Linked DNA regions of Arabidopsis thaliana. The protein of the gene in region 1 interacts with the protein of each later gene in a pairwise test. Each region holds a gene or a part of one and is shown in the gene's direction. Other genes may lie near its edges. The genes, in order: MYB6 and AT2G42660.

Evidence for each region.
Region 2: the proteins of MYB6 (region 1) and AT2G42660 interact in a two-hybrid assay, tested with the Arabidopsis thaliana proteins (one large-scale study listed by BioGRID).

Annotation. Positions count from the first base shown.
Region 1 is NC_003075.7:5,990,884-5,995,061, forward strand, and holds MYB6 (myb domain protein 6), read left to right. Parts: upstream 1-2,024; 5' UTR 2,025-2,135; coding exon 2,136-2,398; intron 2,399-2,707; coding exon 2,708-3,155; 3' UTR 3,156-3,375; downstream 3,376-4,178.
Region 2 is NC_003071.7:17,766,392-17,770,545, reverse strand, and holds AT2G42660 (Homeodomain-like superfamily protein), read left to right. Parts: upstream 1-2,166; 5' UTR 2,167-2,287; coding exon 2,288-2,510; intron 2,511-2,595; coding exon 2,596-2,672; intron 2,673-2,752; coding exon 2,753-2,792; intron 2,793-2,869; coding exon 2,870-2,984; intron 2,985-3,077; coding exon 3,078-3,207; intron 3,208-3,298; coding exon 3,299-3,481; 3' UTR 3,482-3,496; downstream 3,497-4,154. Other genes in the region: AT2G42650 (Ribosomal protein L1p/L10e family), read right to left, coding at 3,898-4,154.

The DNA of each region.
Region 1 (4,178 bases):
GAACCCTTTGAAGAGCCAACATACTTTCGGAGTTTAGCTGGCAAGTTACAATACTTAACAATCACAAGACCGGATATTCAATATGCCGTGAACTTCATCTGCCAAAGAATGCACGCTCCGACCAACTCTGATTTTGGCCTTCTCAAACGCATACTCAGGTATGTGAAAGGAACTATCAACATGGGGCTTCCAATCAGAAAACACCACAACCCTGTTCTTTCGGGATTTTGCGATAGTGATTACGCTGGCTGCAAGGACACTAGACGCTCCACTACTGGTTTCTGCATCCTCTTGGGATCTACTCTGATATCTTGGTCTGCAAAGAGACAACCCACTATCTCTCACTCCTCAACAGAAGCCGAATATAGAGCTCTTTCCGATACAGCTCGAGAAATCACTTGGATTTCCTCTCTTCTCCGAGATCTTGGAATCTCTCAACATCAACCTACACGAGTGTTCTGTGATAACCTATCTGCTGTCTACCTCTCTGCAAATCCTGCTCTTCATAAACGATCTAAACACTTCGATAAAGACTTTCACTACATCAGGGAACGTGTGGCTCTCGGTCTCATAGAAACGCAACACATCCCAGCAACTATTCAACTTGCTGATGTCTTCACCAAGTCACTACCGCGACGGCCCTTTATCACGCTTAGAGCCAAACTCGGCGTGTCTGCGTCACCGGTCTCACCCACGCCAAGTTTGAAGGAGGGTGTAGAAGACAACCCAATAAATAGAACGGGCTTTGACAAAAACAAAGACATGGTAGCCCAAACTCAACAAAGCCCACTACAGAAGCCCAGTCAACATATGCAAAAGAAGATAAAGACCAAAAGCTCTTTACCTGCAAAACAGAAGACTGTCACTAATACGGAGAAGAAGACAATAACACTTGAAAACAAATTCAAGCCGTTGCAGTCGCTGCCGTTGCAGTAATTCACAATAAATAGCTATTGATTAAAGATAGCATTGTCAAGGATTCTAGATTGTTCTAAAGAAGTCTATAAAAGAAAGATGTAAAACTCCATTGAAAGATAAGCAAAATAAAAACATTTTTTGTCAAGAAATAATCACAGTTTTATTTTTCTCTTCAGGAACAACTAAAAAACTGTATTTAACTAAAACAATTCAGAACTCCTTCATACGACGTCGTTCTTTTGTTAATTTTAAATTTAATTAATGGGAAAAATGTCATTAAAATCTTCAACTCATTGCAAACATTGATTTAAATCCTCAACTCTCGACGAAACAAAATAAATATTTGACTTTCTAAATAAATATCTAATTTTTGTTGACCTGGCGATATTAGACACACTGTTAAGTAAATTACTAGATCCCGTTAACGGAGTTAATTTTTTTGTTAACAGAGGCCCATTAATGCAAAACGTTATTGTTTCCAACAACAGAGTGACGTCGTTTTGTAATAATGACTGAACTAAATTCCCAAATTCAATCTAAGATCTCTAAATCAAGCAAAATTCCTATCTCTAAATCCCCATATGATTTGAAACTGGAGATTTAATTGAGCCGTTATGACAAAAACGATGACGTTTTATTGTTAGAGTAAACGTTGTCGTTTTCAATCAACGAGTATGTTAACACACTAAACGTTCAAGGTCTATTAACCTACTGAACATCATGCCTAATATAGTCATGTCAACAAAAGTTTGATATTTATTTGAAAAGTCAAGAAGGTTTGGTATTTATTTGGAAAGTAACATAAGTTTGATATTTGTTTCGTTCGCCGAGAGTTCAAGATTTAAATCAAAGTTTTCAATAAGTTGAGAATTTTAATGACATTTTTTTCCAAAAGATAACATGTTTGATAAATATTATTTTTGCATTGTATTTTTCTTAACTACCAACTAAATTATAAGAACAGTGAGAGAAAGAAAAAAACAAAAACCAAAATCTAAGGAGAAAAAGTAAAGAGACAAGAAAAAAAGAGAAAAGAAGGTTACTTACTTACCTACCTAATCTCCATTACCCCACACACAACACAGCAAAGCACAGCCTCACTTTATCTCCACATAGTCACATGTACATATACCAAACTTAGTCAAAGTCTCCTCCTTTTTATATAACCCACAAATTGATCTCTTCTCTCTTCTCTTACACCATCTTCTTCATTCACCATGGGAAGATCTCCTTGTTGTGAAAAAGCTCACACAAACAAAGGAGCTTGGACTAAAGAAGAAGATCAACGTCTCGTAGATTATATCCGTAATCACGGTGAAGGTTGTTGGCGTTCTCTTCCTAAATCCGCTGGATTGTTGCGTTGTGGTAAAAGTTGTAGATTGAGATGGATTAATTACCTTCGTCCTGATCTTAAACGTGGTAATTTTACTGATGATGAAGATCAAATCATCATCAAACTCCATAGCTTACTCGGTAACAAGTACGATAACTTTTTCCTCTCTTTCTCTTCTTCTAAAAAAACAGAGTGAAAATAGAAAAACAGAGTCACTTTTTTTTTTCTCCCTACTCTTGTTTCTAGGAAAAAGATTTCAACTTTCTAGGAAACAGAGAGAAAATAGAAACTGGGTCACTTTGTTTTCCTGCTCTTTCTTCTTCTTTGATCTTTCCCAGGAAAAAAGTTTCAACTTTCTAGGAAACAGAGTCGTTCACTTTTTTGTTTCCTCTGTTTTTGTTAAAGCTTTCCTCTGTTATTGTTATTCATATGAATTTGAAATGTTTTGTTTTGCAGATGGTCATTGATAGCTGGAAGATTACCAGGAAGAACAGATAACGAAATAAAGAATTATTGGAACACTCATATTAAGAGGAAGCTTCTTAGTCACGGTATTGATCCACAAACTCATCGTCAGATTAACGAATCCAAAACGGTGTCGTCTCAAGTTGTTGTTCCTATTCAAAACGATGCCGTTGAGTATTCTTTTTCCAATTTAGCCGTTAAACCGAAGACGGAAAATTCCTCCGATAACGGAGCTTCGACTAGCGGCACGACGACGGACGAGGATCTCCGGCAGAATGGGGAGTGTTATTATAGTGATAATTCAGGACATATAAAGCTGAATTTGGATTTAACTCTTGGGTTTGGATCCTGGTCGGGTCGGATAGTCGGAGTCGGGTCATCGGCTGATTCTAAACCGTGGTGCGACCCGGTGATGGAGGCGCGTTTGTCACTGTTGTAATAATTTGTCAAAAAAATCCCAAAAAATGGGTTTTGTTACTTCATTTTTTTTTTTGCTTGAGTCCTTTTGGATAAATATAGAAATTCTTTACTTCAGTTTCTTTGGTATTTTTGTTTTAGTTTTTGTTCATATTACCTTTTGAAGAAAAAGAAAAAAAACGATACATGGTTTCCAAAATAATTTTATGGAAATATATAAGAATATTACACCATTGTCTAGGAATGCAAATGAGTAATTTGAATTTTATTTTGACAATATTGTTATAAAATGTAGAAGTATAAATGTAGGAGTGAAATGTGAACATGGTTGGTCCCTTTTGGACTCTTTCTTATGGATCAACCGTTATCCATTTTTACATGTTGGTATAGATCATAGTTTTTATATGTTTTTTGAAGCAAAAGCTTCTAGAAACTTGAATTAGGTTATAATGGGGACCATATAGTTGCAACTAGCAAGTTTCAACAAATATCTCGTTCACTATGTTAACTATTTTTTTTCATTAGGTTTTCGGTGTTAGTTTATATATAGTGCTAGGACACATGGTCCTCATCTCAACAAACAAACTTCTAGTTTGTAGAACTTTTTATTGTTTAGGAAAAAACTAGAATTGAGAACTTCTATTAATACTTATAGTTGTAGCGTAATTTGGTGCCAACGAAATTAATTAAAAGAACTACTATAGACGTAAACATTGAAAAGGAATGTGAAGAAGCAGCTGATTGGAAGAGATACAAATTGATTACTAAATAAAGAAATATAGAATAAGAGAATAAGATAAGGGAGGAGACATGTGACATGTTTTAGGCAGGTAGGTGGCAGAATCTATCATTAAAACCATATTGTGTACCAAAAAATAATTGACTTTACCTAATCTTTAATAAGATAAATATTTTATATATCAATACTATAACCTTATAGATTATCCGAAACAAATTTGACATAGCCAAGTCTCGATAAAAACATTTATCAATATGATCTTAAGGCAAAGCAAAATGTTTTGTCTTTAGACAAATCTTTGGTCGA
Region 2 (4,154 bases), on another chromosome or scaffold:
TTTTACATTTAAAAATGGTTTTGTGCATATAAAACGTCCTTTAGGGAAACAGTTGTTATATTTTTTGTCAAAAAATAAATGGTTTGTACATATAAAACGTATCTAGTAAACATTCACAAAAAAAAAAATCCTCTGAAATGGTAAAATATAAAAGAATTTTCTTGGAAGAAGTAGAACTCGACAAAAGATTCTCTTAACCAAAGAAATTCATGTCGTTTAAAGAAATTCAAGAACTATTGAAACAATTTGAAATTATATATTCCATAAAAAGAGAGCATGGGAAATGGAGGAATTGTGAATGAAGTGTCGGTACGTAAACAGGTTAGGACAAAACAAAGTTTCCTCATCTTTCTTAGTGCCCACATGAGCCTCTACGATTCCTTCTCTCCCATCAATGCTCTCTTCAATCTTAGTTAATTACTTCGAATGTTTGTCCTATCTTCTCTTCTCTCTCATCTCCTATCTTTCTTTCTCTCTCTATCTGTCCATAACCCTAGATTTGAAGATCGAGGGCGATCATGGTAAAAGACTTCATAGAAATTCTATAACATTCAAGCTGTGTTTATATGAATACGAGCGTTGAAATTTGATCCCATCGCGTTTTCATATATGTTCCAAAATGCTTGTATAGATATGTGTGTGCATAGACATAGAGTGTCGGAAATTTGCATCGGGACGATTTATAATTAATTTGGTGTAGGGTTTGAGGTCCTTATTAATTTCACATAAAACTTGGTTCAATTTTGTAAAAAGTGTTTGTACTTATTTTTCTTGATTTGAAACTTATTTTGAGAATTTATGATTAACGACAGCTTATCTATGTTTACAAATACTAATTCAACTCACAAGATGACAATAAAGACAAAGATTGCACTCTAGAAAGAAAGTTGCTTTGCCTAATTTGAACAATTAAAAAATTGCATTCAAAGATAATATACCCGTAATTATTTATTAGTTACCTCTCTCGAATTATATACTGATTGGTAAGTTGGTAAGCCCTACAAAAACATATAGTTAGCCAATTCTCGAAGAGAAACCAAATACTAATATATGGAGGTGTGTAACCCAATGCCCATTGAAAAGGGTCACCAATAATAAAACCAAAAAGATAAAGACAACTTCTGTTTTGTACATACGTGAACTCAAGAATCTTTGGGAATCACATCCTTAACCATTTGACAAAACTCCCTTCTCTCTTAAGTTTTTATTTAAATTCTGTTTTCAAACGTTGGGATTGAAGACCGTCATGTATTTAACCTAAGTATATGAGAAACATGAATATAGATCAATAGCCATCATGATAAAACCAAATGCGTAGAAACGTAATTCATTCCACCACATAGTAATCGGTTGAGAGGTAGACAATAGTTTGTACCTTTTGTCTATCAGGGTTCGAATCAATCGGCTTAGATCGATAGTTCTCATGTTCCGTTTGAGTTCCCCAATGCTAATCTGATTTTTATTTTTTTAAGTTGTTTTGGAGACACTCAAAAACGTGGTTTAATATGACAAAAGGGTAAAGCGTAGTCTCCGGCAAAGGTCAACTTAATTGGAAATTATTAAAGAGAAAATTGTTAGAAAAACAAGAGTGGTTTGGTCGGATTGAAATGTTTGATACATCATTCACAAAACAACAATTCTAATGACACAAAATATTCGACTGCCAATTGTGTATACATATAGACTGGACTATTTGAACCAATATGCTTGATATCAAATATATGATTAATTAACCAATTTAAATAGCCTAGCCATTGTCACATGATATATATCAAAGGCACGTTAGGTAAACAGAAGATGTTTTAAGAAATGGTATAGTTTTTGGAATCTGAATTCATATTCAAATTCACCATATTTAAATCTTGTTTAAAGAAAGATATTATTTTTAAGAAGTAAAGGAGATAAGTTTACATGTCATTGTCACTAAAAGAACAAACGGATATTTTTCTGGTATGTTAACAAAAATGAAGCAAAACCTAATAACTAATGTGATTTCACCAAACGGAAGATTCCAACACACTTTTCCATTAAAAAAAAACATACAATTATACGTAAACATGCATGACATAGATAAGAATTTTATATATCTATATAATTATATACTATAGTTTACGACAAATAAGACTATATTATATACTTATAAGTGTATATATATGATTATAGCTAGTATTATTGAAGCCAACGCCGAAATTATCATAGAGATTTAACCTCTCTCATGGGTTTTTTTTTGTTTGTTTTTGAGTAATTGATCTCGAGAGCTAGCTAAAGACACTCTCGCCGGAGAGACATGGCCGGGAGATCTTCGCCGGGAAAATGCTCCACGTGGCTTGACCTGAACAGAGAAGAAACAGTGGAGAAGAACAATGAAGAAGAGTCATCAGTGGAAGACGAAGACCAAATCACGAATAACGTTAGACAGTATATTCGGTCCAACATGCCTCGGCTTCGTTGGACGCCTGATCTTCATCTCTCCTTCGTTCGTGCTGTCCAACGACTAGGCGGTCCAGACAGTAGGATTCTTGTTCTCTCTCTCCACGTCTCTTTCTCTCTTTCTCTCTCTCAGCTTTGTAATGTAATTGTTGTATGATTTTAAAGGAGCGACGCCGAAATTGGTTCTTGAGATGATGAATCTAAAAGGATTGAGTATTGCACATGTCAAGAGTCATTTACAGGTAATCTTCATCGTCTGTTATTCTAAGATTATCTCAGTTTTGTTCATCTTTTTCAATGTTTTCATGTTTCTGATTTCAAGATGTATCGAAGTAAGAAGCTCGAGCCGTCTTCTCGCCCTGGTAAGTTAGTTTTGATCCGCAGACATTTACCATTCCTTCACTGGGTTTCATAATTGATGGAAATGACTTTTGAACAGGATTTGGAGCTTTCATGAGTGGACAAAGAAGCTATTTGATGGACATGATCGACTCTCGATGTATCCCTCATAGCGATTTAAGACATGCCTATAACTCTAAAACCGTTCCTTCGAGGTCATACAAAGAAACAAGTTCCAGTTACTAAAATGTTTCACATTTGTATATCCGATCCGACCAAGGAAGTTAAAATTGCATTCTTTTCTGTAGGGTACTCAATCAAGACGCGGTCGTTACAAATCTTGGAGGTAACTTTCTTATGCGACCTTCGAGCTGGTTTAGCGGGTTATGCAGAAATGACCGAGACAGCACAGAGAACAAGACTCTGCCTCTACTCGAGGTAACTACCTACTTTCGTTTTAAGAGTTATAGAGGAACAGTTTTGTTAAAAACCGAGGAAGGTACTGTAATCTTGGTGAAATCTTATGCAGATTAGGAAGAAGAACAATGAGAAAAGAGTCCGAGATGAAGAAGTATCATCAGTCAAACGATTGAAATCAATGTCCGGAGGTGGGATACAGTTGCCTGAGTTTGGAAATTGCAGGCAAAAACCAACAGATGATATCAACACAATGCTCTCGCTCTCTCTGTTGTCGACATCATCAGAACCGTAACCAACATACTAGAGAGATGAAGTTTAACTTTAAAAGAGATTCAAGAGTAGAGACTTTTGTTTTCCTTAGCCGTTTCATGGGATGAGTACTTAGCCAGGATCTGGATCAGGCTTGAGTCAGATCCTGCAAGTACTTATCCTTAGCGGTTTCTCTGCATTCAATACAACACCAATTCTGGAATGCAACAAAACACATGTAATAATATGTTTCCTCGTCAAAACCACCAAATCAACTACATGGCAAGTCACTAGTTTGATGAAATAGTAAACGATAATAAAAGTCCTAAATATATAAGAATCATGATGATGATACCATAATAAGACAAAGTCATAATCAGTATCCAAAAAAATCACTCAAGCAGAAAGAATAGAATACTTAGTTATAACGACATTAATATAAAATCTTCTTTTCTTGGTTCACCTCCTCTTAGTCTTAGCTTTGAATCCACCACCAGACTCATCAATGTCCTTCTTTAGCTTTTTCGACTTTTGCCCATTCTTACTCTTCACAATGTCTGGTTTCCCACTCACTGCAGACTTACTACTACTCATCTTCTTCCTCTTCTTCTTATCTCCAGAAGCATTGAGATCATCAGCAACCTCATCTTCTCCAACACTCCTATCGAATTCATCATCACCAAGAGTCTCAGATACATTACTATCCATATATCTAA